Drosophila melanogaster: one gene and its partners. The protein of the gene in region 4 interacts with the protein of the main gene of each other region in a pairwise test. Each region holds a gene or a part of one and is shown on either strand. Other genes may lie near its edges. The genes, in order: Cpr64Aa, ara, GstO2 and pie.

What was found.
Region 1: the proteins of pie (region 4) and Cpr64Aa interact in a two-hybrid assay, tested with the Drosophila melanogaster proteins (one large-scale study listed by BioGRID).
Region 2: the proteins of pie (region 4) and ara interact in a two-hybrid assay, tested with the Drosophila melanogaster proteins (one large-scale study listed by BioGRID).
Region 3: the proteins of pie (region 4) and GstO2 interact in a two-hybrid assay, tested with the Drosophila melanogaster proteins (one large-scale study listed by BioGRID).

The regions. Positions count from the first base shown.
Region 1 is NT_037436.4:4,205,775-4,212,879, forward strand, and holds Cpr64Aa (cuticular protein 64Aa), read right to left. Parts: upstream 3,405-7,105; 5' UTR 3,319-3,404; coding exon 3,118-3,318; intron 2,791-3,117; coding exon 2,413-2,790; 3' UTR 2,064-2,412; downstream 1-2,063. Other genes in the region: Cpr64Ab (cuticular protein 64Ab), read right to left, coding at 5,227-5,574, 5,684-5,698; Cpr64Ac (cuticular protein 64Ac), read right to left, coding at 6,471-7,025, 7,088-7,099.
Region 2 is NT_037436.4:12,577,333-12,585,464, reverse strand, and holds the start of ara (araucan), read right to left. Parts: upstream 4,794-8,132; 5' UTR 4,363-4,793; coding exon 4,312-4,362; intron 1-4,311. UniProt on the Drosophila melanogaster protein: Controls proneural and vein forming genes. Positive transcriptional controller of AC-SC (achaete-scute). May act as an activator that interacts with the transcriptional complex assembled on the AC and SC promoters and participates in transcription initiation.
Region 3 is NT_037436.4:8,519,045-8,526,886, forward strand, and holds GstO2 (glutathione S transferase O2), read right to left. Parts: upstream 4,458-7,842; 5' UTR 4,388-4,457; coding exon 4,357-4,387; intron 4,178-4,356; coding exon of another isoform or gene 3,456-4,177; exon of another isoform or gene 3,367-3,455; intron 3,275-3,366; coding exon 2,688-3,274; intron 2,629-2,687; coding exon 2,491-2,628; 3' UTR 2,391-2,490; downstream 1-2,390. Other genes in the region: GstO3 (glutathione S transferase O3), read left to right, coding at 468-1,165; se (sepia), read left to right, coding at 1,546-1,573, 1,630-2,198, 2,256-2,390; GstO1 (glutathione S transferase O1), read right to left, coding at 4,823-4,853, 4,909-5,030, 5,090-5,673, 5,731-5,758.
Region 4 is NT_033779.5:10,419,157-10,426,729, forward strand, and holds pie (pineapple eye), read right to left. Parts: upstream 3,625-7,573; 5' UTR 3,488-3,624; coding exon 3,374-3,487; intron 3,307-3,373; coding exon 1,672-3,306; 3' UTR 1,469-1,671; downstream 1-1,468. Other genes in the region: RfC3 (replication factor C subunit 3), read left to right, coding at 109-146, 203-267, 324-774, 835-1,049, 1,112-1,189, 1,245-1,396; Wdfy2 (WD repeat and FYVE domain containing 2), read left to right, coding at 4,364-4,524, 4,595-4,942, 5,215-5,327, 5,388-5,514, 5,578-5,774, 5,836-6,116; small ribonucleoprotein particle protein SmB, read right to left, coding at 6,372-6,968, 7,338-7,340. UniProt on the Drosophila melanogaster protein: Required for survival of imaginal disk cells possibly by regulation of cell apoptosis. Required for germline stem cell self-renewal through mediation of BMP signaling.

The DNA of each region.
Region 1 (7,105 bases), on a different chromosome or scaffold from region 4:
GACGCGAAATTCAGCATTTTAATTGCCCGCCTCGCATTTGAGGCGACAATTGTAATCGAGCGTGCCAGCGTGCATGGTTATAATAAATACTCGCATTACATGTGTGCGTGATCACTTAATCACCTGAAGGCACCACTCGAATCACTCGAAGACTCAAACATGGCCAGAAGCCGCCGCGCTCTGTGTTAATTTCACTTCCAAATGCAAACAAATCCCTCTCAATCATTAAAGTCTGCAGCGGAGTCATCATGATCATCAACACACTCGGCTGGTGGTAACCACAATACGTTTAGTAGTTCCACTGACACAATGGGTGAAATGCGTCAAACACAATGCCACAAATCGGTGATAATCCGATGGCTATTTATGGTCGGACTTTTGGCTGAAAATCTCATTAAAATCGTATTCACTAATCTGAGATTAGTGGCGAGATTTTGAGATTATCATATGGCCGGGGTCTAGGACTTAGTCGTTATTAATAAAAACTTTATTATGATGCAAATATTTTATAGTTTTTTATTGAAAATCAATCTACTCAGGTGTCTATATGCTTATATTTTGTTTACTTGCTTACATAAGGCATTTTTAAGTTTCTTAACTACAATTGTCTTTAGAAGTTGTTAAAGAATGTCTAAATTTAAAGTGTTGCTCAACTTAAAGGTGTATAATGCGCAGATATTAATGAAATGTGAAAACTATAGTGCATCATCGTATTTCCGCAATACTTTCTAAAATTTTCCCGATATTTTGGTAGCCCCTCGAGCATTTGGTGCCCATTGTAGCACCGGTTGCTTGGAGCTGCAGCACGCCCATTGTCTTACGCTTTCGCCCATGTCTTTTGAAGCTACCCCCCTCCAGTTTCCCGCCCATGCCGTGTCGCGATTAACATTTCAATTTAATTTTATTAAATCATCAAAAGCGTTTAATGTCGATTGCAACAAAGGCCCGTCGCATTATGCAAGTGCAAATGTAACGAAAAGTCATTATGCGATCTATACATTTTTACATAAATAATAACAAATATGCGCATAATTGAAGGCGCCGCTGCAGATGTGCAGACGATGTGGGGTCCACTCCGCACCATTCCGATGGAGGTCAGTTCTCGGACGGATCAAATTATCCGGATCCAAAGCCAATGATCGAGGCGCGGCCAGTTTCAGTTCCAGTTCCAAGTTCTCCATTGTGCCCGGTGGCCAGTTGCCAATTACTCGATCGGATCGATTGGCAATCGGATCGGCGACGGACTGTTCTCCAATTGAGACCATAAATTTCATTTAGACCACTTTGCATTGACGCTCGAATTACGCAGTTTTCTGTGGTGCGTGGCCCGACCTTGAGCGATTAGCCTATCCACCATTCAGTGGCGCACTGCATCGGTAGCCCGGTGGGTGACCCACGCAGGTGGGGCTTGTTCTGTTCTAAGGTCGAACCACTCACGGGCGGTGAGCGACACAAGTGCACTACATGTCCCAAAATTAACATGGAATTCATGTGTTGCCAGTGTCAAAGTCTAAGCCGCCACTGAATAATGGCACTTTGGTTCTAATAACAGCGATTATCATTCAATGATTTAGAATTAAACGCAATCTTGGCAATTAAAATCGAATTAAATAGCTTTAGTATGCTTTACTTTTTATTAAGCGTAAAAAATTCACAAGCAAGTTATTGCCTATTAGTTGAATAATATTATTCAAATATAACTCTTTAGTTCTTGAAGGAAACCGATTTATTTGAAAATTATATATTCAAAAAATATGTAACATAAGATATTTTCAATTATTTAGCTACAAATATAGTAATTGTCTTTGAATCCTACTAATGTTCAATGGTTGTAATATATTTCGATATAATATTCAAGCAATAGCTTTAAACAGAAATCAGCTTCCGTTTTAAAACTCAAGAATCAGAGTAATTTTCTTCCAAATTTTCATTTCCCGTAAAAGAATACTCCATTAACTTTCCATTTGCATAGCTTCGGTTCGTTTATTGCAATCTCGTTTCTCATTCTGCGAGTTCTACTCGAGTGCACAGGCTCGGATTAAATAAGAATTGAAACGGGGATTGTGAGTTGGGGATTATAGAGTATTTATCGCGGTCAAACAGCCTTAAGATTAAGAAGACAAGAAACATAAATGAAAGGTCTCGAGAATGTGTGAGTGTAGATGAGGGAACATTGGATCCGTAACTCAAGGACTGGGCAATCGGAATCCGCTGTCCGTGAATTCGTATGTACATATTTCGATAAATCGCTTTCATTTCCACTAATACTACAACTACTATCGACTATGATCGGCCCATGAGCTCCGGCTAACTGGAGCCCAGGTGGCAGGAGAAGTTGGTCGCGATGTGTCCATTATTCGGTTGCGGCAAGAGGTCGGCATTATTCGAGTGGTGTATATCCATCCATCTGACTTAGTGGTAGCCCAGGGGCGAGAGGGCGGGCAGGGCCAGCTTGGGCAGAGCAGGTCCATAGGCGGGAGCCAGAGCCGGTCCGTATCCGTGGGCCAGAGCCGGGTAAGCGGGCGCCAGAGCCGGACCATAGGCGGGCACCTTGGCCACCAGAGGAGAGGCATGGAGCAGCGGAGCCGGGGCCAGAACCTTGGCCACCGGAGCCACAGCCTTCACCACAGCTCCCTCGCGGCGCACCACTGCGTTGAATCCGTGCACGGGATCGGCGGTGTACTCCACAATGCGGCGGGTTCCGTCGGCCTCAATCAGTGAATAGGCGCCCTGCACCACATCTCCGCTGCGGGTCTCCTGCTGGCTCTTCACGTCACCAGTGGAGCCATCCTGGTGGGCAGAAGGAAGTTGTTGGATTAGCAAAGGATAGGAATAGGTACTTTATATTTAAAGAAATGCCTTGAAACGAATCCTTTGCATCTTATATCCTAAGGATTTCAAGGAAACTATAAATATTTTATATCCAACATCCAACTTGCTCAACCAAGTGGTCGGATTTAATAGTTCTAAGCTTCCATAAACACTTCATAAAAATGTCTGGCAAAATCAAAATTTGCATACCAGTTGCTCAATAAAGCAATAAAATTCGAATGCAGATTTCTGAATTGGCATTGCTTTTTATGAGGTGACTAATAACTTCTTACGAAGCTGACTCACATGAACATCGTAGCTGAAGGTGTATTGGGGATTGGGATCGTATGGCTCCGGACCCGCCACCTTGGCCACCAGAGGAGCAGCCACCTTGGCCAGCGCCGGGTACGATGGATAGGCGGGCAGTGCCAGTCCGGGACCAGGGACCACAACGGCGGAGGACACCGCCACCAGGGCGCTCAGGACGAGGATCAGTTTCTGTGCCATTCTGGACGGATTGCTTGGTGTTTGCGATGGAGTAGTGGAGAACTGGAGGTCTACTGCTGCTCGACTGACAAATGAACTCGATCTGTGGTTCTGTGGCCGCACGACAATTGCTTTTTATAGGCCTCACATAGACGCGAGCCCAAAAATCCGCCACAGCCTCCGCCGCCGCCTGCCACCAGATATTTATGCAAAAAGCGCAGCAAGACACAAAAAATAATAATAAACAACTAAAAAGTGAGCATGCGTGTGGAGTCTGTAGCGGCCTGTGCCTATGCGAAATGCTCGCATCGATCGCGACAAATATAAAATAATTCATTTTTCGCTGCCCATGGCAATCAGAAGGGGCTGTCCGGAGGTGGAGGAGCTGCCGGTCGAGCTGAAGGCGCTGGAGGTGCTTGGCGGTTCACGCATGTCTGGGAGTCTGGGAGGACTGTGCTGGACCAAAGCAAACTGGTCCCACGCCGGCTGAATCGCCGTCGTTGTTGTCGTGACAAAAAAGTTCAATTCGAAAGCGAATTATTTGGGCCTAAGCCGGGTGGCCGGACGGATCAGGTGTGGTGGACGCATGAGCACCAGTGCCTCCCATGTCTCCATGTCTCGACTTTATGGCCACCAGATTGGGGCGACGCTGCACACGCACCCAGCAGTCGATTGTTGAAAGGTGTGTTTGGGGCACAGCCTTCGAAACTGGCTGGCTGCTCTAAGCCGCGCCCACCCAAAAAATCTACGCCAGACGCATTCAATGCACTGCGAGAAAACGAAAAAGTTCTAACCGCAATGAATGTGATATGTGATATTAAAATCTCTACGAAAAAAGTACTTGGATAACATATACAATACAAAAGGATATCAATTGTAGAATATTCTGTTCAATCCTATAGATTTTCGAATGTCATGCAGTATTTTTTTGAGTGTATAGATTTGGTTCTGTTTCGCTGCTCTGTTGCCATTGGGACAATTTTGGCCATTATCACTAATTTTCAACGCGTACCGCCGCTTGTTAGGCGTTGCTGCAGTTGCAGTTGCAGTAACTGCTGCAGTTGCAGTCGGCGCCGGCAGCAACATCTATGGACATGCTCGGGTTGGGGTTTGCGTAATCCAAAAATTGCATCTCGTGCCGATTTTTTACTTTCAATTAAGCTATTGAATAATTTGAGTGCGTGTTGGGCCAGCGAGAGTGAATGTATTCATTTGGAGTGGAAGAGTTCTTTGGGCGTGGGACAGCTGGAGGGGAGATAACCATCTAAGATTGCGGTCTTATGTAAGTGGAATGGGTCAGCTTTCTTTGGCGAATTGGGCTTTTCCTGGTTACATTTTGTTACATTTAAAATTACAAAACCACTTTTACATGGCATGGAGTCACGAAAATGTTCACCAAGTAATTAGTTCCATTAAGCACATAACCATTTCCATTTCTTGACACCCGCAATTATGATGTAATTGAAAAAGTTAACACACTGCTAAGTTTCAAGTTCAAAACGACGATATTTGCATCATAATTAACACGCAAATTTTGATCTTGAAAAAATGTCCATTGAATATCTTGTTATTTTGCACTACTTTTAAGTGTGTTTTTAATTTAGTTCATTATCATTAACTAGGCAAGTATGCATTTTGGGCCTTGAGCTTGTCTAATCAACTGACTAATTAATAAAAATGTATAGGTGTAAATTTAAACTCGTTTCGGAATTTTAGTAGAGCTTTTGATTAATTTTAGTTAATCAACGCCTTGAGAAGCGAATACTTGCGGATTTTCCTTGAATATGATTGAAGGATTTCATGTATTTCTTTGGCTTATTGAGTTTATTGTTTAATGATTACTGACTTTACAACGGACTAAGGAGCAGACAATAAGTTATGTAAAAGCTAGGTTACAAGCAGTGTTAAAGGCTCTGAAAGATTGTGGAGTTAGCCCAAGATTGGAGCAGCCACTGGAGCCACCAATGGGCGAGCAGCCACCGGAACTGGTCCTCGCTGCACCACCGCATTGAAACCGTTGATGGGATCGGCGGTGTAGAAGACGGTGCGCAGTGAACCATCGGCATCGACCACCGAGTAGGAGCCCTTGACCACATCTCCATCCCGCACCTCCTGCTGGCTCTTGCTGTCCCCGGTAAGGGCATCCTGCACATTATAGGCGAACGCGTACTGCGGATGTGGATCCACCTCCGTGTTGAGGGGCACTCCCACTGGAACAGCAGCTGGGAGCAGGGCGCACTCGATGGCGGCGATCAGAGCGCAGCAGATGAGGGTGATCTGTGGGTTAAGTAAGGTGCATTGATTGATTTATGATCAAGATATACACTTGTGCAGATCCTAGTAGTATGTTCAATCACATTCCTTGACCAGGATTCCCTCAACTCACCTTGATCAGGGCCATGACTAGATTTGCTGGTGGATAGTGGTTTTCCAATGGTGCTTTGTGCTTGACAATGCTGTCGGAACTGTCTTGGATTGCCATTGGATCGGGGTTATAAAGGGCCTCCACATTTCCGCGATAACATGCGCCGTGTGGCAACCGCTGCCAAAAACGATTCCATTTGCTGACGTAATGGCCCGTTTTTGTGCCTGGTCCACCTGCAAAAAGTTTCCCCCATGGACGTGCCATCCAATGGCCCAACTTGCACAATTCTCCCCTCCATTGAAGCCCCACCAATATGAATTGTGATAACCGTAAATATAGTTGGCACTACGTGATCGGAATCTAAGATTGGGAGCTTTAACTCGAAGCTCGGGACCTACCCCAATGTTTAACTGGGTTAAGCAGGGGAATGTGGAGCATTCCTAGAAATATTTCAACTTTTCGAATATCACTTCCAACCGATCAGTTCCATCGAACAACTAATAACAATTCATTCAATCTTTTTTTTTGTACCGAAACTTTTATTCAGTAAATGCAGTTACTAATTCACTAAGTGGCCGATAGCCGTTCCCCAGATCCCCAGAACGGTATCCCTAAACGTAGTCTATGGTGGCGATCCTTCGATCGGAGATTGGGAATGTGGGTCAACAGCGGGGTGGCAACAGCACGCACGTCCTTGTGTTTCGGGTTTTGACTGACAGAAAAGTGGGTAAATGCATTAGAACTATTTAACAACGGTCCTACAACTAGGCCATGGAGTTTGTCATCGCTTGGTCCACCGGTTCATCGCCTAGTGGTATCCACCCAGACTCAGACCAGGCGCCGAAGCGTATCCAATCTTGGTGATGGCGGGAACGGCGGCGACGGCAAGAGCTGGCTTGGCAATGGCCACCGCGGCCACGCCCTTCTTCTCCACGACCGCATTGAATCCGTTGACCTTGTCGGCGGTGTAGGTGACCTTGCGAATAGTGCCATCGGGTTCGGCCAGGGAGTAGCTGCCGTGGACGACTCCGTTGACCAGGGTCTCCTCCTGCTGCTTGGAGTCACCGGTGTGATGATCGGTTACTCCGTACGAGAAGCTGTACTGCGGATTGGGATCGTAGGGCTCGGCAACAGCCACCTTGGCCACAGCGACGGGGGCAGCCAGGACCTTGGGAGCATAGGAGATGGCAGGAGCGGCATACGAGATGGCAGGAGCCGCCAGGAGTTTGGGAGCAGCATAGGAAATGGCAGGAGCAGCAAGCAACTTGGGAGCCGCATAGGTGAGTCCAGGGGCCGAAAGTCCATAGGGATCAATGGGAATGGCCACAACGGCGGACAGGATCAGTCCCAAAACGAACAGAGTCTGGCGAGGAATTCCATGATCAGTTGAGCCAACTAAAAGCTGCACTCCTTTGGCCAACTCACCTGGGCAATCATGGCGAA
Region 2 (8,132 bases), on a different chromosome or scaffold from region 4:
TAAACTAATGATGTCTAAAATCGAGTTGACATTATCGAAATCGCATTATATTTTACCCCTGTGCACAGGTACTTCAAAACTCGAAAGGCAGTCGACTGATGATAGCCTTAAGTGATATATAAACACACATCGCCACTGGTTTACATAACTAATGCATGTTAATCAAGGGGCCATTTTAATTTTTATTTCAAACACCAAAGGTCCGATGATCGAGAAATATTTTCCCTCGCCGGCAAAAGGGTCATTTTGAACACCTTATAGAGATACGAACCGCTGATAAAACCCCACAACTCACACACACTCGCAGAGGTGGGGCTTCCGAGAAACCCCCCCAATCATTGAAGAAAATATTTCATTTCGAACACAAAACGCAGACCCTAAAGCTGACAGTGTTTATCTCAAAACATTTCGCCAATGAATTAGTTTATTGCGCTGCTCAAATGATAAGATAGTTTTCATTGATGGATCTAAAGAATGTTCCAAGCAAATGATTTTGGTAACTTATTTCGTGCTTTTATATTACGAGATTTAAACACTTGAATACTACTGTTTTTTTTTTCAATTTTTAAATATATATAAAGCTCCGATTATTGAAAAGTAAAAAAAAAAACCAAAGAAAAGTGAAGACTTTATAAACAGATTCTCTTAAGTACCAACACTTTGTCCGTATTACTTAGAAAATTGAGAAGTAATTTAATAATTATCTAAACTATCCTTGAACAGCGCCATAAACTAGATGTCAACTAGCTGCGAGGATGGAAACCTGCCCGGGAATGGGATGACTCGCCTCCAATCGACGCGGCACAGGAAACGCACGTCCATGTATAATGGCTAATTTTCTGCATCATAATGCCGAGTAAGTCATGCTAACTGCCGTACTGGAAACTTCATAAATATTGATGTCCGGCAATGTTGTTTACCCATCCCCCAGATCAATGTACCATTTTGCAGGCCATCCTCCTACTGAAGACACAAAATCCGCCTGAATCGCTGGGTAATTGCGAATTTAATTCGAAAAATCGACAGTAGGCACCCATTACAAGATGCATCGATAACATGTAAGCGAATATGGTGTTAACACACAATCAATGCCACTGGCAGGAAAGCGCAGAAGCTGGACGGGATTCATAATCCCGCGGCGATTAAGTTCCCTTAATCAATGGAGTGGATTGGATCGGATGGGAGTGCAGTTCGGGATTCGCGAACTTCGCTGCAATGGCGGCCAGATCAATTACCCAGCAAATCGATTCCAAGTGCGACGGATCGGCAACGGGGGCAGCCTGATGTGATGTCCTCCATCTTTTACACAGTGGAACCTCGCCTATGGCATGCGCCACTCACTTGGCAATTAATATGCAAAATGTGCCAAGCCCACGAAGCCAGTTCTCTTGGGGGCATTTTAAAAAATGCCAGAAATCAATGAGGGTGTGGCAGCCGACGCCTATAGGTCCCAGCACCAGACCAGACCGACTTTTTCGGACCCATCCACAAGATCGATGTGGATATGGGATGCATGGAATTGATGCAGATGGAGATGGAGTCGGGCAACATGCTGGCGAAGGCTTCTGAAAATTACCGCGGGCAATCTGCAAAACGAGCGGACTGCTTCAATTTCCCCACAGTCTGCAATCTGCAAACTGAAGTCTGGAAGTTTGAAGTCTGGAAGTCTTGAAGTTTGAAGTCTGGAAGTCTTAAGGTCTGGAATCTGAAGACTTTAGTCTTCTGGGCGAAAATATCGACGCACCGAACCCATAATTAAGTTGAGTGCTCCGCCCGTTGGACAGCTACAAATTGATCGAAGTGCCCAGCAAAAGGTCATAATATCTGGGCAGCAACAATTTTAGCCCGGCTAACACGGCTTCTGTGGCCGAATTCGCGGTCAAAACTTAAATGCAGCCAGCAGAATGCATAATTATTCCGCGTCATTAACATAATCTGACAATAGAACCATCTTCTTCGCCCGAAAATCGCAGCACATGCATATTATTTTATAATTATCAGATGCGATCGATTCGATTCGAGATTGATCCCCTCGAAATTCAGCAGGTGAGTGATCTACTAGAAGGTCGCTCAAGTCCGATCATAATTAATAAAGGAAAAACATATTTTTTTTTGAGTCGTGCTGAAACGCACAAATAATAGAATTTCGAGGCCAAGACCGCTGACTATATATAGGGACATCGAAAAAAAAAATGTGAAAACTCACAGCCATTTATCAAAATTTTACAAATGAATGATTCAGTTGTTTTACTTTTTTGACTTTTTTTTTTGTATTCCACCGTGCCGCGTGATTTTAATTAGTAAAAAGCAAATACATTTCGCTCGATTCTGTATGGGAATGTTCAGCGATCGAAAGGAGGCAACGCGTTCCCAGAGTTTCTCGGCAAACGCAACAATATGAGAATTATGACAACTAATCTGATAGGCGACACCATATAGGGAGCTCTATGCGCCTGCCAGATTCCTCAGCTCCTTGAGCGAATGCATTATTCATGAGGTAGAGGACTCCATTCCAGCAGTACCTTTCCGCTCTCGGAGGAAGCGCCAGTGGTCCAGTGGGCCATGTGAATTGGCCACGTCTGCGGATGGAACGTGGAACTTTCGTTGTTCGCAGTTGGAGGATGCAGACGACGACGACGACTGGCAGGCGACAGTGCGCAGATAAGATCTGCTGGCCATGTGTGTGCCCAGTGAGCAGTAACCAGTAACCAGTAACCAGTACCCAATGCCCAATGCCAGATACCCAACTTCTGAGTTGCACTGGCTTTGGAAATTTCTGTGAATCGCAAACGCAGCGATCTAATCGCAGCTTGTATCTCGTGGGTCCACCAAAGCGGCCAGGCTACCGCGATTCTGCATCCGAGTGCCTCCCCCGACAATCTCCTCCAGATGACCAAGTTGATAGCACCGGACTATAAGCGCCACTTGGAGCCGCACTCCGCTCATTCTCCTCACTCCCCAAAACGAAGCCAATGTAAAGTAGATCAGAGTGGAGCCAAGTCATTGGTCCATCGATCGTGTTCGTTGGGATTCGGATGCTATCCTATCTGCCATCTCCAGATTCAATGGATGCTCCTCACGTAGCCAGGAGGGCATTCCCAGAGCCTGCCCTCAGCTGTCACTTTACGGTTATGAATTTTATGATTTACGATCGCCGCAATTGAATTTTATTGACTTTTCAACAGTTTCACCTGAGCGTGCCTCAATCGGCACCTCCCATCGTCTTGGCCTTCTGATTGCCAAGGCTTTTCCCTTTTTTCTTTTCCTTTTTCTTTAGTTTTTTTTTTTTTTTTTTGCTTTCGTTTTCGACTTTAGTTAATTGGGCTCGTGTGGTCCGAAATGGGAAAGACGCCAGAGTTCTTTGGAGGAAGAACCAGGCAATTGGTAACCAAGTATTATGGCCTGGGAAATTAAAGTTTAGCCCAGGCAAACGCAATCAATAGGAAATTTAATTTACTCTAGGCCTTTCGAAAGCTTCTACAACTTTTGTAATTTATCACAATATTTTACAAATATTTTAGTTGCACCTGCAAGCCGCGCAATTTTGTGCAACATCTTTAAAACGCCGAATCGTTTTTTGTGTGAATTTTGAAGGTTGACAAAAACGCCTGATTCCTCGGAGTGGCTTTTTCTCAGGCCATTTATCAGCCATCTGATTTATTATGGTTTTTTGCTGGCCTGCCACCAATTTACTGTCATAAACATGGAAAAAGTTTGCCTCAAGCAGCTGTTTTTGCTGCTTAGTGAAAAGTCCAAAAGCGCTACAATCAAAGACTTTTAGCGGTTTTGCCCTATAGTGGGTCCTCAAGATCAAATAATCGGATAACTTTGACTGGAGTCGGTGGAAGTACTCAGATGAAAGTTGGTGGTAAGGATTGCTTAAAAAACACACAAATAGAATTTAAACCCAACCAAGCTTTTTTAGGAAAAAAATTTTAGAAAAAATATTCAGATAACGGGTTCAGTTTTAATGATGGAACGCACTCCAGAAAAGATAGTTGTGATTATAAATAGAAAAATTAAATATGTATATGAAAAAATATGATTTTACAACGCTTTTTGCTTGTGACCTCTGTTTTTAATACCTCCAAACATAAAAATTATGAATCTTTAAGGCAATCATAATTACAATAATCAGTTGATTATATCAGTCGTATGAATAATATTGTATCTAAATAGGTTCCCATATCTGCAGTTAATAAACATTTTCATTCCTCTAGTTATCTTGAGATCTCTTGCTACTTAATGAATATGAATAGCCATCATATAGTATATACATCTAGATCAAATTTAGTTAATTAGAGGACCCACCTGCGAGGCCGACGGAAAGCCTCCGTATCCGAATTGTGTGTAGGCAGCCATTTCGCTATATGACTATACGACTATATAAGACCTAGTCTTAAGATACTCTCTCTCTCTCTCTCTCTCTCTCTCTCGCTCGTGGGCAGTCTGCTGAAGGATATACGGTGAAGCTGCTACATCAAATGATGTGCTTATCGGGGGTTTAACAGCTCAGTTTCGATTGGGTCTGTTCACAGTGGGCACTGGCGATAACGACCATAACGACATTGGGCCAACCGAAAGTATCTCGTGGATTTGTTTGGTATTTGCAGTTGCAGCTGTCACTTGTGGTGGATTTTTGTTTATATATATTTTATTTTTTTTTCTGGCTAACAGCACTCGCAAAACGCGGCGGCAACGAAAAATCGACGAAATATCGACGGCAAAAACGCGGCGCTTCAGCACACGCTCCCTTTCAGATGTGCACCTTATAACGTTCGAACACGAACTGGTTGCGAATGCCGTTGCTGTTGGCCGTGTTGCTGCTGCTGTTGCTGTTGTTGTTGCTGCGCTGTTGGGGCGCATTCCGCTGCAGTTGGCGCGGAAGCGGGACAACAATATGCTGCCTCCCCCCATCGAAAGAGAAACGGAATGCCGCTCGCCTTGGAGCGAGCAACAAGAATAACGGAGTCGGCAGACTGGAAGTGTAAGCACTCTAGAGCAACGCCCACCGTTCTCCGGTTTTGTCTGGTGTTGGTGGTGGCATTTGGCCGGTCGCTCTCTCCGCAATTCCAATCCGATTCCCCGCCAGTGACTCGTATTCGCGGCTCACTGGAAGTGAGGCCAGCGCAACCACCAATCGTAGGGCTGCATGAGCTTCGGCTGGCTGATTTAATGGACAGGTGCGAGGTCGCCAGGCGAAAGAAAGCAAAGAAAAGAAAATACAAATGAAATGAGCGGATGGTGAAGGGAGAGGAAGTGGGTAGGGAGCGGGACGCATTTTCACAACTGTCGATGGTCTCTTGTTTTACCCACAATTCCCGGGCAACGCCCATTTGTTTTGTTTGGCTAGTCATTTGTTTGTTTACTTTTCACAATTGCGCGCCCATCGACTGGAAGTGCGCCACCAGCGATCGCCAGCTGGAAGTGGCAACAAAGTGCTGCGATGGCCAAAAGTGGCGACACAAAAGCGTTAATAAGATCAGCAAATTCCAAGACACTCGCACTGTATTTATCGTCTGTCATTATCTTTATCGCTGCATTGCACTTTAGTTAACTCCCATTATCGATCCTCACTAATTAATCTCTCCTAATTCGGGTTTAAATGAAACATTTCCAGCGATCTTTGTTTAAATATCATTCCACTTGGATACCAGTTACTTAAATTATCAACAAGATTTTAACTTTTTATGGAAGGAATTAATATCCTTACTCAAACAGGCAATCATACCATTAATTCTTGGGATTTTTAAATATCAACCAGATTTTTACTTAGCTTAGGTTATGTTATTAGTAATCATAACATATATTAACTTTGAGACATTTTAAATTTTTTATAAAATGTGTATTGCATTTTTTTACTGCAATTGCTTTTTAACAGACACAGATCATTTAAGTATTTTCAACATTTGCGATACTTTGGCGAACAATATTTATGGCAATTAAAATACTTTAATTATCTAACTAAACTAATTGTTATGCTACTTAAATATGCTAGCCAATTTAATTTCGCCACTTAAAATATCTTCTAGAACATAAGCAATTTTAATTGCAATTAAATAGCACTTGACGTGTATCCGAAAAACAAGAAAAGCCTGACCTAATTTTCTTTTTGATAAATTGCATGCAACGTATGTTTCTGCACTATGATACATTAATTGAAAAAAAAAATTGATTTTTCTAAGATATTTTTAGAGATAACTTAAACCTCGTGTGTTTTGCAGAAAGTTCGGTCTTTTAAGAAATCATAAAAAATATATATTATACTGTCAAATTTAGGGCAAGGAATGGCCCACTTTTTCACTTACACCATATTTATTATGAACTTTTAACTATATTTATAAAATTCCATAAGTTTAGTGTGTAAAAGGTACCCGCATATTGCACATGAGCCCGTGAAAATGCTGGATTTGGAAAAAAGTTTTTGCTATTAATGCGCACTAACATATTTGGACATCCGCTTTACGATCTATTTTTTACGATTACGATTCTCCGGCAGGATGAATTCTCCGGTCGAGGACACGCATTCCGGAAATGGAGAGTCCGCCGTGGATGTGATGCGATGTGATGGGGGAGATGAGGTAAACCTCAAATGTTTTTGCGGGTGCCGCGGATGTTGGCAAGCTTGTTTGCAGCGTGTTTTTGTTTGTTCTCCTGTTCTTCTCTTCTTCTTTTTTTTGTCGTTTGTTTATTTTTATGATAATGTAATAAAAGCAAATTAACCTATAAAACCGAAAAAGTGCGACTTACACGACGGAATTGCGCCATAAGGTCTGGGCGTGTCCTCACCTCGCTCCGCATAAGATATATGTGTGTGGATGAAACGATCCACGTGGTGTGGCTGGAAGTGTGGGTAGAATAGAGCAGTATGGAGTGGCTATGGTGAGTGGATATGGGTGGTACTGGGGGTGGTGGCACCCCACCCACCGCGGCCCAGCAGCGCCGGAAAATGAGAGCAGCGTGTTAGCTGAAAGCAACAAATGACCAAAGCTGTTGCCCCCACCAAAACCCAAATGTGAATTAATTCCAAGGGAAGCCAAGTCATGACGAGGCCAAAGGCAAAACCCAGCGGCAGTCGCACACTTGGCCAAAATCGGGGATCACTTACAGGAACCTCGATAAAGGTGTATAGAATTTATTGGTAAACATTAGTAAGTTTGCTTTTAAAATTGGAAAAATAATAGATTAAATATGAAAAACTAAAGGTTGTTTATAAATTTCATACATAATTTATAAATATATAATGCATATTTTTCAATGTACATATTATTTAATTATGCCATAAAATAATTAAGCTATATAAAGTGTGCTTCTAAAAGTTCGTAATATAAGTATTAAAAATTGAGCCTATTCCTAATATTTCTAAGGTAGTTTTCTTAGCAAAAGGCCTTTTAAAAATATTTATTCTAAATGGGAGCACGTATTTTTTTCGAGTGCAGCGGCGGCAACAAGAGCGTAGAGTCCGTTCCAAGTGCCCCTCCGGGTGTTAAGTACAATATTTGCTGTGTTGCGCGTTTTACGAGTGGCGCTTTTGCAATCGCCGGACGAAAAGGGAAGGACGCAAGAGGGGGTGGCCGGGGGTCTGTGGGCGGAGTGGCGGCGGGGGGCGTGGCAGCGACGGGCCAAATGCAATCAATCAATGGGTCAGCATGATGGTACACACCAGACGACGACGAGTGGCAACCACATGGGGCGTTTCCATTTGCGGCAGCCACACACTGACCACCCTCTGAGTTCGAGAATCGAGTGGCAAGAATTCTCGAAAAAGTCCTCGTCGATCCGAGACTGCGGACTGAAATCGCACAATTGGCAGTTGCCACTTTCGGTGGCAAGAAGTGCACTTCACTTACAAATCAGTCGACGGCACTTAAAACCTATTTTGACAATTGAGCTGTCCGCCAGTCAAACTGACAGCGCGCACTTTTCACGCCACTCGATAAAACATACATATGTATATACACAAATATATATATATTTCGATCAAGGATATAGCAGTTTTGGTGGTGGCATTTCCTCCACCGTTTTATGCCGTTTTAATTGCAACATCTGTCACTGCGGTTTATGCATATATCAATTTCAAAATAGCCGGCAAATGGCAACGGCAATGAATCCATTCCATTCCACACCAGAAC
Region 3 (7,842 bases), on a different chromosome or scaffold from region 4:
TTTATAGTATTATTTATAAAACAAGTTCTCCAACATTCAGCGTAATTATCGAATAACGATTTTTATATTTCATAATGTTAAAGAATATTGGCATGAATAACTGGGATTTTTTGGTTAAAAAGTTAGAAAGGTATATTATTTGGTAAATTTCAATACGATCTTTATTCTTTTACAATTGTAGGTAATGCATTAAATTAATTATTTGATTTGTAAAATTTACTTACATTTTTAGCTATAGCTTTCACCCCGATATCAGATAACCCATAATATTTACACTCTAAAAGATAACGTAGCTACAAAATTTGAGCTTTATCACGACTGGGCCCTATCAACATTAACTTAAGTGCAATGACTTGCTAAACAAATAATAATACAGGGGTGGATTTTAGGGTTCCACAAGTGACTCATGAAGTTATTGATTTATTTGTATAACCTAAATTTAACTGGTAAATAAATTCTATCTTTAGGTTCCCCCAAGCCTGTACTCCCTGACGATGGAGTCCTTCGCCTGTACTCCATGAGGTTCTGTCCCTACGCTCAGCGGGCTCATCTCGTCCTGAACGCCAAGAATGTGCCCTATCACAGTGTCTACATCAATCTCACCGAGAAACCAGAGTGGCTGGTGGAAGTGAGTCCGTTGCTTAAGGTGCCTGCCCTGCAGCTGGTGGCGGAGAAGGGTGAGCCCTCGCTCATCGAGTCGCTGATTATTGCCGAGTATCTGGACGATAAGTACCCGGAGAATCCGTTGCTGCCCAAGGACCCATTGAAGCGGGCACAGGACAAGATTCTGCTGGAACGTTTCAGCAGCATCACCAGTGCCTTCATAAACATCCTTGTGCAGGGCACCGGTCTGGAGGATTACTGGACGGCACTTGATATCTTTGAGGAGGAGTTGACCAAGCGGGGCACCCCATATTTTGGCGGCAACAAGCCGGGATTCGTGGACTACATGATCTGGCCCTGGTTCGAACGCCTCTCTGTAATCGAGTTGAAGTTGCAGAAGGAGTACAACTTCAACGAGAGTCGTTTCCCGAAGATCACCAAGTGGATTGCCCTCCTGAAGGCGGACTCGGTGGTGCAGTCCTTCTATGCCACTCCCGAGCAGCACAACGAGTTCTGGCGCACCCGCAAGGCCGGCAATGCAAACTACGATCTGCTGGCTTAGATCGGTACTGAAAATGAAACTATTATATAACAAAGGAGATTTAATAATGTTCTAAAAACAATAAAAACTAAAATATTTTATGTGACAAAGAAATGAATTAAGGCTAGAAAGGCAAGAATTCCGTTCCAGATTCACAGAACGTGGTTCGAAAAACTTAGTTCTTAAAAAGTTTTGTTTTAAACAAATATTTTGGAGCAATATGCAGGTTGCAAGGGGGCTTCACTGTATCCACATGGCTTGGTATGTGTGTCAGCCGCAAGCCACCAAGTTCAGCCGCGTAAGCGAAGCCAACCGGCGAAGGGCAGTGAGCTGCACTTTATAAATCACTCGAATGACAATCGCTATCACCACTTGCATCTCTGGACCCGAGCACGCACATCATGAGTAACGGCAGGCATTTGGCAAAAGGTGGGTAGAGCCAGGAAACCAGGATAATCATAATTGATAATAAATGCGCCCACTAGGCTCACCCATGCCGGATGTTCCCGAAGATGGTATCCTTCGCCTGTACTCGATGCGCTTCTGCCCATTTGCCCAACGGGTGCATCTGGTCCTGGACGCCAAGCAGATCCCGTATCACAGCATCTACATTAATCTCACAGACAAGCCGGAGTGGCTGCTGGAGAAGAATCCACAGGGCAAGGTGCCGGCTCTAGAAATCGTGCGAGAACCTGGACCACCTGTGCTCACAGAGTCGCTACTGATTTGTGAATATCTGGACGAGCAGTATCCATTGCGACCACTCTATCCACGTGATCCGCTGAAGAAAGTGCAGGACAAGTTACTAATCGAGCGATTTAGAGCGGTGTTAGGTGCCTTCTTCAAGGCATCCGATGGCGGTGATCTGGAGCCCTTCTGGAGCGGCCTGGACATCTACGAAAGGGAGCTGGCTCGACGTGGTACGGAATTCTTTGGTGGCGAGCAGACGGGCATTCTGGACTATATGATTTGGCCCTGGTGTGAGCGCCTCGAGCTCCTTAAGTTGCAGCGTGGAGAGGATTATAACTACGATCAGAGTCGCTTCCCCCAGCTGGTGAGCAGGTCCGTGTATCCCAGGAGTGATGAAGTACATTAGTATACCATTTTTCAGACCCTTTGGCTGGAACGCATGAAACGAGATCCGGCTGTGATGGCCTTCTACATGGAGGCCGAGGTTCAGGCGGAGTTCCTGCGTACACGGAGCCTGGGTCGACCCAATTACAATCTGCTGGTCAAGGATGCCTGATGCACTTGGTTTATTGAATTTTTCGCATGGAATGAATAAAACATAAATGCAGTCCATAACCGGTTCCAAAGATTTGATCTTGTCTAAACCAGTTGTCGTTCTATGGTGTACCCTTGAAGGCAATGTCGTACTGGGGATTTCCAAGGGTCTTCGATTTCTGGAACTCAGCATGCAACTGGACATCCAAAGCTGTCTTCTGCACAACCTCATCCTGGGTCATCAAATCGCGCCACTTGAGCTGTAATGGATTTTTGATGAGATACATGCATCATCTTATGTTGGATTACTTAAACATACCAGCTTCTCAAATCGTTTTGTATCCAGCTCATACTTTTGCTCCGTATTGATCTTCATGCTGGGAAAACGTTCGAACCAAGGCCAAATCATGTAGTCCACGATTCCAATGTGCTGGCCGGCAAAGTAGGGCGTTCCTCTTTTGCCCAACTCCACTTCAAAAACATCCAAGGCATTCTCGAAGTTCGGTATGGCATCTTTCGGAGCGTTGGGATTACAAGTCAGCACAGGATAAATGGCACTGACCACTGGAGCAAAACGTTCGATTAGAATCTTGTCCAGCGCCTTCTGAAGCGGATCCGTGGGAAAGAGTCGCGTCTGGGGATATTGCTGGTCCAAGTACTCTGCTATGATGAGCGACTCCACGAGGGTCGGTTGGTCCTTCACCCCAGTAAGCTGCAGGGCTGGCACTTTGCCCAGAGGACTGAAATCCTTGTACCATTCAGGCTTCTCAATCAAATCGACGTAGATCTTATGATGTTCAATATGTTTGGCGGCCAGCATCAGACGAACTCGGTGGCTGAAGGGGCAGAATGCCATGGAAAAGAAACGAGGAACTCCATCTTCTGGCAGCTCGGGCTTGGTGGAACCTGTAAGATCAATGTAAGCTTGATTAATTGGCAGGAATAAAAGCACTGACCCAAATCCCAGTTGAAAAGGTAGAAATAACATTTGATGGTCTACTTTATATATGGGTTTAATATTTTTTTAAAAGCGGTTTCACAATGTTAGTTTAAGTATGTTGCTTCCTGTCATCCATTAATACATCCTTTACAAGGGCTGGAAGGCTACATCGTAGTCCGGTTTGTTCTCATGGCGGGTCTTCATGAACTTCGCATGGATTCGGGCATCCAAAGCGGTGGCCTTGACAGCCTCATCCTGAGCCACCAGATCCCTCCACTTCAACAAATTCTGATAGCGTGTCTTGTCCAACTCGTAGGGTTCATCCAGAGTGTACTTGAGGGCCGGGAATCGCTCGAACCAGGGCCAAATCATGTAGTCAGCAATGCCGATCTTGTTGCCTCCAAAGTATGGTGTTCCGCGCTTGGTGATCTCCTGCTCGAAGACATCCAGAGCGGTCTCAAAGTTCTTGATGGCATCAGCGGGTGGATTCTTGGTGAACAGCACGGGGTAAATGGCGCTGACAGCGGGCGACAGGCGTTCGATGAGAATCCTGTCTAGCGCCTTTTGCAATGGATCCTTGGGGAAAAGGGAGCCCTCGCCCGGATACTGTTCATCCAAGTACTCGGCAATGACCAGGGACTCCACCAAAGCCGGTTGTCCAGGCAGATTTGGCAACTGGATAGCCGGCACCTTGCCCAATGGACTGTAGTCGATGTACCACTCTGGTTTCTCGCTAAGATCAATGTAAACCGTGTGATGTGGAATCTTTTTGGCGGCCAAAACCAAACCGGCACGCTGCGAGTACGGGCAGAATCTCATCGAATAGTAACGCAGGACTCCATCCTCGGGGATCTCCGGTTTGGGCGAACCTGTTGAAGGGTGATTTGTGACGTCAGCAGAAAGTTTTCCATTATGCTTTGGCTAAAATTAAAGCTCTATCTCTGCGTAATTTACGCCTCTCAAAGTGGGGTCTAGATAAAACTATGAAATCAATTGCCAACTTTTGCAGCGTCACTATCCCGATGACCTTGAAGTGCCCCCAACTCACCCCTCTTGAAGTGCTTTTGCGGCAGGGCCATTTTGTTAACAATTTTAAAATAATTCCCAAGACGTGAAATGTTGGTGGCAAAGTAGTTCCGATCGACTGACAACAAATAGAGGGATTCCGGTACCTTATAAAGTGGTCGCAGTCGCCGGACGAGTGAATTTATCGAATATATTTCGATTGTTGAGCGGGTGAATTTAAAATTCTTAAGCTCATATTTAAGAAAATTGTTTGACCACATATTAAAGACTACAAACGACTACTCTAAGATAAGTATTTTCATATCCATTTATCATTCATACCTTCATTAATCTAATTCTAAAACAAACGTACTTACAACCCGTATAAACAATGAAAATGCAAAGATTTATTTTTCAATCACAATAATGCTGCCGTAGTAGGTACATGTGTTACATGTTATATGTGCAAAAGGTACAATGCTGAAGTGGAAACGCCATCATCCCGTAGACTACCCCAATTTGACACGTTTGGCCTCATTGCTAGAAACGAGAAATGGATCAGTCACACATTATATGTATAATCTTCAAATCTTACTATAGCATATTATAATCGGCCTGGCCCGATCGCCGGGAGTTCATGTATTTGGCATGGGTCTGTCCATCCAGATAGAAACACTTGACAGCACGATCCTGGATCATCAAGTCGCGCCACTTAATCTGCAGTAGAACAATCTCGGTAATTTAAAAGACATAATTAGAAAACCAATAGGACCCACCAAAGTGGGAAAACGTTCCGGACTCAATTCGAATTTTTGTTCAAAAGTGTATTTCAGAGAGTCAAAGCGCTCGCACCAGGGCCACATCATGTAGTCAAGCATGCCTGGGCTGTCGCCACCAAAGAACTTGGTACAACGTCGCTTCAGTTCCTCCTCATAAACGACCAATCCGGCATAGTGATCGGTGTCAACCAGCTGCTCGGGATTGTCGTGCAGCAACAGGTAGTAGAAGGCATTGATGAACTGTCCGAAACGTTCGATTAAAATCTTCTCCTGGGCTTTTTTAAGCAGATCCTTGGGATACAATGGCACCTCCGGATACTTTTCGTCCAAGTAGTCACAAATAATGAGCGACTCGATCAGCACAGGATTTCCCTGTTCCTTGACCAGCTCCAGTGCCGGCACCTTTGTGGAGCTGCTCACCAGGGAGAACCACTCGGGTTTGTCGCGAAGATTGATGTAGATAGCGTGGTAGGGAATCTTTTTGGCATCCAGGACCAGGTGCACACGGTGTGCATAGGGGCAAAAGCGCATCGAATACAGCTTTAAGATCCCATCATCCGGAAATACGGGCTTTGGCGAGCCTGCAATATATATGCGCCTTTTAAATGTGAATTTGGAACTTAGTAACTTATACTAACCAATAGTTAAGTGCTGAGTATTGCTCATATTGGCAATACAATTTTTTCTGGAAAGGAACACAACCTGTTTTGCGGGTTATGACAATTATCGATATTTGACAGTAAACGTTAAGGTGGCTCGATAACGTATTGTCTTTTTACAGGATTGATGTATTTTTAATCAATTATTATTTAATCGGTTTAAAAAAATCTATCTTAATCTTAAATATTAATTTTTACAACTTTAATTTTTTTAAATATAATTCAGTCATCTATTCATCTATTATTTAGGACTTTAATTTCAATAATTTATGGTTATATATCCATAATAGACTATTTGCATCACTGCTCCAAATACATATTGTATATACATAATTAATCTAAAATCAATTTATATTTATCGTTTTTAATATTTGCTGCAAGAGGTTACATTGATCGCCATCGATGTGTAGCGTTGATAGCAACGGAACACCGATACCTATCGCGGATGATTCGGTGTTTTTCCACATCCCTACCGCCTATCGATAATTGTTATAACAAAATTGTTTTAGTTGCGGATTTCTTGTGTTTGGCGGTGTGAGCGAAAGAGAGATGGCTGCTGCGGCATATGTTTAGCGTGTCCGGAAAATGTTTACAGTAAGCTCGCCCTTGCGTAACTGAGCCCGTGTTGGTGTTGGTGGCCGCATCCCGTACTCCGTATCCCGTGCAAATCTCGCCGCTCCATGCGGACTCGCTTCGATTCGATTTCCCGTGCCAAACCGAGATTATTGCAACGTAATTGACACTCGGCGTAATCTCTACGGCCTCTTTCATTCACGCCCACCGCATCGGCAAAAGCTATAGCTCCCAGAATCGTCCAGCATTATCTTCGATCCCGCAATAACTCTAGTGGGAATTGTGTGAGTGTGTGTTACAGTGTGCGATGTGCTAAACAGTCCGGCAAATTTACGGGTGAGTTAGTAGTGGGCTTGCATTAATTATTCGCCTTTGTTTAATCTTGGCATAAGTTCGTTCAGAATGGAAAGTGCATGCGACGCGCCCCCATTCCACCTCCCACCGCCCAAAATCCACCCACCACCACCCACTCGTATTTATTTATAGCGGGACATTTCCATGTGCGTGTGATTTTGACACCCGCTCACTTACATCCATATGTATTTGTTGTACACACACATACGCAGATGCACACGTAACTACACTGATATTCAGCACGTTTTTATGCTATTTTCGATCGACATCATCAATGTGTTCTATACATAATTCAGCGCAATTCTGATACCATTTCCATGCTCGCTATCTTCAGAGCCTAATTACGCAAAATCAATGGAATTAGTGTTATCAAACGGGCCAGAATGCTTATCATCCACTGGCGGGGCTAGATAAGATTTCAAGGGGGAAGACAACGTGGATGAGTCTTCACATCGCGTATGCTTTATCTCTAGCATTCTCTCTATTTAAATCAATAGACTTATCCAAACGATCATAGTTACAATTACAATCCACGTGTTCGACGTACACAGCTTACATTTTGCGTAAATAAATACTCTTATCACCTTACACATAACGTCATTAGATTTTATATTTGTATTGCGCATTGAGGGATATGAAATATTTAAGTTGTATTCCGGATGCGTAACCCCCTTTGGAAGCCGTCACTGTTATCGCCACTGACCCATATATCAACATGTGTTCCTTTCGCACTTTTGGCTGCCTTCCACATAGTTCTGTTGTTTTTGTCTTTTTTTTTTTAGAAGTGTAGGTGGTGCATGAATCATAGATAGTGGTGCCGGTGGTGGCCAAAAGGGAAGCATCCTTATCGGGCGCGAACTTTTCCATTTCTCCGCCAAACGCCCGCCGCCAATCAATTATTCATGAGCCAGCGTAATTTGCAAAAATTGATATGTATATTTGCAAATAAAAAAAAATGCAATATCAGCTATGAATGCCTTGCAACCAGGCGCCAACAACTGAGGCAGCCAACCATTTCAGCAACCAACAACTCAATACGGAAAACAAACGTTTCTCGGCGATCCACGATCATTTCGATGCCCCCAGATGAATTATTTATCGCATATGGCCAGCCCTTCAACATCAGTTATGTGTCACTTGGTGGGTCGTACTAGCTGAATACTA
Region 4 (7,573 bases):
TCTTGACATTCATCGAGCTATCGATTTTTACCGGTAATTCGCATTTGCAACTCGCTTCCATGCGCATTTTATTGTATTAAATTTCTACCAATATATCAAATTATAGTTATGTCGGAAACCAGTGGACCCGCAGTGCGCATGCCTTGGTAACTTGTAATTAGATCTTGGAAATCCACAAGTAATACTATTTTCATTTCTTCAGGGTGGAAAAGTACAGACCAAGCGGTCTCGATGATTTGATATCTCACGAGGAAATAATATCAACAAGTGAGCATTCTGAGCGTTTAGCCATACAAAGCCACCACATTTAAGTGTACTTCTAGTAACCCGCTTTATAAGCCGCAAGCAGCTGCCCCATTTGCTGTTCTACGGACCACCTGGCACGGGAAAAACGAGTACAATCCTGGCCTGCGCTCGCCAATTGTATTCCCCTCAGCAGTTTAAGTCCATGGTCCTGGAGCTGAATGCCTCGGATGACCGAGGCATTGGGATTGTGCGCGGTCAAATCCTTAACTTCGCGTCCACACGCACCATTTTCTGCGACACCTTTAAGCTGATCATTTTGGACGAGGCCGATGCCATGACCAACGATGCCCAGAATGCCCTGCGCCGCATAATTGAGAAATATACGGACAACGTGCGCTTCTGTGTGATTTGCAATTATTTGAGCAAAATCATTCCGGCGCTGCAGTCGCGTTGCACCCGTTTTCGGTTCGCTCCATTATCCCAGGATCAGATGATGCCGCGACTGGAAAAAATCATCGAAGCCGAAGCGTAAGGTCTTTCAACTGCATAAAATAGCTTATTACTAACCTAAAATCTATCAACTATCAGCGTTCAGATAACTGAGGACGGCAAGCGGGCACTGCTGACCCTGGCCAAAGGTGATATGAGAAAGGTCTTGAACGTCCTGCAGAGTACCGTGATGGCATTTGATACGGTAAACGAGGATAACGTCTACATGTGCGTGGGCTATCCGTTGAGGCAGGATATTGAACAGATATTGAAGGCCTTGCTATCCGGCAGTAGCTTGGAGGACTCCTTCAAAAGTATGATGCGATTTGAAATGGCGAAAGATCAAAACTAATGATTCTTTCTTCTCTTTGCATAGCTGTCGAAAGTGCCAAGTACGCAAGAGGTCTCGCTTTGGAAGACATCATTACAGAATTGCATTTGTTTGTTATGAGACGTAAGTTTTTATCAAGTTATCATCAAGTCAAGTTATTGATATGTATTCCAAACAGTTGAGCTGCCTATGTCGGTCATGAACAAGCTTATTGTAAAGCTAGCTCAGATCGAGGAGAGATTGGCCAAAGGATGTACAGAAGTGGCTCAAACTGCAGCTCTGGTAGCCGCCTTCTTTATTTGCCGAGATATGGTTTCAATGGAGAAGTGAAACAATGTGTACTCCAATAATAGGTTAGAATTAAATTATAAATACAAAAACATAAAACACAATTTATTTACTGCATGCTTCTCTAGTTTAACAATCATTAAACCTTTTTAAAGTGGTTTCAGAGGTAGGAAATTTTTTTTTGTTTTTTTTTTTTTTTTGGATGATCATGCGAAACAATATATGCATAAAGAGACTAGAATTCTATGACGAATTAATTCCCACACAAGAGAATTGTTTAAAACATTAAGAACATTAAGAATTGTTTTAAACAATATTTAAGAGAACCCCTCTGATCTGTACCATTCGTGGAACTTCTCGATATGCTCAAAGATGCCGCGGTCCTCGCTGCGGCACCATACATCGTCTGGTGTTATGTTGACGCGTTCCAAAGCTGCCTGCGAGGTGTCCTGAATGCGCGGGTCATCCTCTTTAAATCGCAGCACACACGTACCAATGCACTCACCCATGCATGTGCCGTGCTCAAATTCGTAGATAACCAAGTAGAAAAATGGTTCGCCAGGGCATTGAAAGCCCGATTTTAGCACAAGTAAAGTATTTGGATCCTCTTTCGGCAGTGACGGTGAGTTGGGAGCTTTCGCCACAGCTTGTTCCTGCGGCTGTGGACAATCGAAAGTTTGTGATACTAGCTGCGTTGAGAAGCTGGCTTCTGGCTGCGGTGAGTGTGGAATCGTGTTTAATGCTGTTTGCTGCGTTAATTCAGGGTTTACGTTTATTGCTGTTGTCTGCGGTAAGTCGGGGATCTCACTTGCTGCTGTTGGCTGCGGTGAGTCGGGGATCTCACTTGCTGCTATTGGCTGTGGTGAGTCGGATGTGTCCCTTCTTGCTATTGGCTGCGGCGAGTGGTTCTCATCGATGGACGTCTTTGGCGACGCCTCTGGCGAATCAGGAATTTCCACTATCATCTCCTCCTGTGGCGGCGATAAGGATAACCTCTCGCTTGTTGCGTTAGATTTCGGTTGGCTGAATATAACCGTGATATTACTACTTCGTTCGCTTTCGTCTTCTTCGGAGAAAACAGGAGTCTGGGTTAAGGATCGAGTTGCAGCATCGGGTCCCAATTTTTGCACATAAAAAGAGCCATCCACCTGGTTGTCGCCGTCAGCATTGGTTTCTTCTGTTGTGCGAGCCGGTCCTTCAGCAATCCTCCTCTCCACGTCCAGGCACATAGAGCACTTGAAATCTGTACGCTCGCGCTTCTTCGGCAGTCGCAGGGCGCCCACCAAGCATTTAAGATGAGCCGAAGTGGCGGCACAAGAACTGCAGCATAGTATCACCCACGATAATCTATTATAAGTTCTACCACTGGGGCACAGGCAGTTGGGCTGGTCGCATTTCAGATTGCGCTCGTGGAGCTCCCTATAGGCGTTCCGTTGCTTCTCCCACGTGGCATCGCGATCGGGCACGAATACCGACTGCAGGCGTATGGAATCCCTGAAACGTTCCGAACGACACCAAATGCAACGCAAGTAATATCCGGAGGTCAGAGCGTACTGACGCATGCATTTCTTATGGGCGAATCCGAGGCGGCAGCAGTCACCGTACACAACGCAATGCAGCTCTACCTTATAGATGGAACTGAAGCAGATGGGGCAAGTGGCGTTCCTCGGCGGATTCGACTGCAGCTGTCGCTTGTAGTCATCCATCGGCCTGCATTTGTAGCAGTAGCTTTTGTATTGGCCGCAGAACTCGAAAACGGCGCGATTCTCCAGGCCGCACTTCAGGTGAAACAATGACCGGCAACGATCGCATTGCAAACTGGCCCCAATCTTATTGCAGTACCAACATTTCCTCTTCTCCGCGGCGGCTGCCTCCTCGCGGATATCGCGAAGCAGAAATCCCAGGATTCCACTGCTATCTCCGCCGCGCTGCGGCAAATGCGTTGAGAGTAGCTGGTGGATTGGATCAGGAAGTTTACATTAGCGGGAGTTCTCTTCATTTCACAACAATCGCACTTACCAGGCAAAAATAGTGCACCTGCAAATTGCGTACAATCATCCATTCGCCAAAGACCAGGTCGTCAGTGTCCGAATATTTGCATATTAAGCATTGCAGCTCCTTGTTATCTTCCATTTGTAAGCTGGCCGCTCAGACTAGTTTTGCTGGACAGATCAACTCGTTTGAGTGCTATTATGAATAATTTTTAAAACTATCAACATGTTTTGCATTCCTTTTTTACTCTATTGGCGGGCAAGGATTTTGAAAAACAATAAATACAACAGCGCCTTATTATACTTCAATTCCACCAAGCACATTTTTGGAAAAGCTCTGTTTCCACTGAGCAACACTCACAATGATCTAATCTGCTTAACTAGCTATATTTTGCGTTAACCCTACTTATAATAAAATTATTTATTTATGTGTAATAATAAATTTTAACGTATTAAAAACTTAACACAATATAAACAAATATTTTGTGATTAATAATTAAATAGCATGATAACCGGAAACATAACTGTGCGTGGTCCGTAGGTTTTATTAGATATGATATGCCATTATGAAAATCATAAGACTATACATTTATAAAGCGATTTCTGAGATTCAAGATTCAAATGCTCGTTTGTATGTTTATAAAATGTGGTGCGTGCATATGCATACATAATGCTGCGACACATCACACGAAATACCTTCAGTATTTTTAATAGCAAAATAATATACAATAATACGCAAAAACTATATCTAACAATTAAGATTCTATTTTCATTTCATCGATTCCACTATTCCGCAGCATTCCTAAACTTGGCGTCGCTATCTAGACGAGCTTTCCAACAACAAAGTTCAGTATATTTAATGTTAAACAAAATAACACAGTTTTGTTAATTGATTGTGAATCACGTATCTCCATTCACCTTCCCCAGTCCGAGAATCGGATTGTTTATAACCGCATTATCATCGAGTGCGTTAAATAGGGCGTAGGCGTACCATCGGACTGGATCCACCTTAAATAATATGGCTGCCGAGATAAAACCAGCTCAGCGGACCAACAATGATCGCTTTAACACCTCCAAAAAGCCGGAATTGCTGAGTAAGCTGGAGGGCAGCAGCGACGATGTGAACGCAGCGATCCTAATTCCGGGCGAAAACGGCGTAATTAGCGTTTCCGATGACAAGTGCGTAGCTGTAGCCCATTAAAAATATACACAAATGGTATGCCTGACATTTTCATGTTTTCCCCAATAGAACCGTTCGCGTTTGGCTAAAACGCGATTCTGGTCAATATTGGCCTAGCATTTGCCAGTATATGCCTTCCGGCTGCACGGCCATCGAGTACGTTTCGGAATCCCGGCACCTGTACGTCGGCCAGGAAAACGGAACGGTCACCCAGTACGCGCTATCCGAAGACTGCAATCGCCTGTCCTTCCTGCGGGATTACTTGTCCCATCAAGCGCGGGTCATGGCCGTGGTCTTCTCGAAAACCCACAAGTGGATACTCTCCGCCGGCAAAGATAAGCAGTTCGCCTATCATTGCACGGAGAGCGGCAAACGGGTGGGCGGATACAACTTTGAGACACCATGCACGGCTCTCCAGTAAGTATGATAAATGGATGGTGAAAGGGGGAAGGGGGTGCGACAGTGGATATGGGATAAGCGGGTCATTTAATTGGATTAAACTGCTTTCTTTGACACGGCAATAAACTGCAATTCTTCACGGCTATGGAATTCATTTAGAATTTGAGAACCTTCTATTGTTAATGACGTGTCAACTGAGTCATTTTATCTACACAAAATTTTGGCATAAATGTGTGCACTGTGCGAAATATTCTATAAGCAACATATAATTAATTATAATCTGCGTTTAGGTTCGACGCTTTGGCCAAGTATGCCTTTGTGGGCGATCATGCTGGACAGATAACAATGCTAAGGTGCGATGTTCAGGGAGTGCAACTAATTACCACTTTCAATGGACATTCGGGTAAACAAGTTACAAATGATATTTAGTAAGCTAATTATATACGAATTGGTTAATTTTTAGCGGAAATCCGGTGCCTCAAATGGGTGGAAGGCCCTCAGCTCTTGTTTAGCGGAGCTTGCGATCAGTCCGTGCTAGTTTGGGATGTTGGTGGCAAACGTGGCACCATTTACGAGCTGCAGGGACATAGGTATCTCCAATCTTAAATAATATTCATAAAATAAGATAGTAATCGGCACTTCTGATTATGTAGCAACAAAGTTTCCGCCCTGTCGTACGCGAATCACACGCAACAACTGATAAGCTGTGGCGAAGATTCAGTAGTGGTTTTTTGGGAAATGAATGCAATGCGGAAAGAGGTTCCTGGCTGGGTGGATACCAACAACTGTCAGCTTTGCTCCAGGCCCTTCTTCTGGAACTTCCGCTCAATGATGGATCAAAAGCAGCTGGGTGAGATAAATAGCTTACACTTGAGTTACTCTTTGTTTTACAAGTAATTTCTGACTGTCAGGAATACGACAGCATCATTGTCGCCACTGCGGCAAAGCCGTGTGCGACAACTGTTCCACCAATCGCATTAACATACCCATAATGGGCTTCGAGTTTGATGTGCGTACCTGTGATCCGTGCTACAAACAACTTCAGACAGTCGAGCGCCCCTCGCTGGCTTCATTCAATGACGCCAAGCATTCGATCGTCTACATGGACCTGGACGAGGACAGAAAGCGCCTGTTGACAGTGGGCCAGGACAGGCTCATCAAGATCTGGGATCTCTCCAACATCTGGGCATAAAACATCCTGTACGCACACGCACGTACCAAAGGTATAATCATTCACGAGGCGTTTCGGTCTTAACTGGAACACCCAATTAACGAACGATGTGGCTGGCAACGACCAAATCCAGTCCCTGCTGCTTAGGTTCTCATATAATTGATGTAAAGCAATAATCATTGTATGTACGTATGCTTACATTCAACACATAAATACACGAATCCATCGATTAAGTGGTGTTTTCTAAATGAGTTTTTATTAGATTGTACTTTATACTTAATAGCCACCCCTGCCCGGTGGTGGTGCTCCACGGATCATGCTGGGCGGCGGTCCGCGCATCGGTGGCGGAGCACCGCGTCCCATGTTTCCTGGCATCGAGGGCATGCCGCCGGGAATCATGCCCGGTGGCGGTGCACCCATCATCGGTGCTCGTGGCACTCCTCGTCCCATCGGAGCCATGTGCTGTTGGGCGGGTCCGCCCACACCTCTCACGGGACCCTGGAGACCCGCTGGCACGGCGGACAAGTTGATAGGCATTCCGCGTCCGGCCACGCGACCGATTCCCGGACCAGGAGCTGCTCCCGGAATGGGAACTCGGGGCAGGCCCTCCTCTGGCGGCGGTGGTCCCTCCACCGTCAGTGAAACTATGTTCTCGCCGCGCAGCAATACAAAGCCCAGCACGCGCTTCTCCTCGCGCTCGGGCACCTTGGAATTCTTCGAGCGAATCTTCCGGAACTCCTCGCAGTCGCCGAGGATCAAGTTCATGTGTTTGTCGAAGGCTTTGAAGGTACCGATGAAGGTACGCGAGTCCTGCAGCACGATTCGCACCCGATAATTCAGGTGCTGAATCATTTTGTTGTTCTTGCCGATCGTCTGAAATAAAGGAATTCAAAGGATTTAATTGTGAAATACAATAGCATGCATAAAAGTCGCGCCATCTTTTGTAAACCATTTCGACCCTTTAAAAAAGCCGGTATTTATAAAAATTTTAATAAACCACAGAGTTTGAAATAGCAAATCTCAGCGTAATATCGAAGATCACTAAAAATCATAATTTTAAACAAATATAAAATAGTTAATTAGCCAAAACAAATTGTTTTATTTATTCGCATGCATGTTTGTATGTATGTATGCCTATGTAAATACGAAATCGCAACCGCGAAAGTAAGAATCTATGAATTAATACAACTAAACAAAACTTAACCATTGCAGTCAGATGCTTAAAACAGTGTTTTTACTTACCATTTTATTTGATTTCTATGTTAATTCTATCGCTTGTAAATAAAATACAGATGCCGGAACCTCACCACGGCTTTTTTCGATAGGCATGAAGAATAAATCGAGTGGCGTGTGCGGCGGTCAGCATTTTCTGGTGTCTTTCAATCGAGCCTATCGAATATAAATTTTTTATTGATAATCCACATGATTTTTTAAACAAACATTCGACTATCCCTAGCAAAAGAAGAGAAAAAAATTAA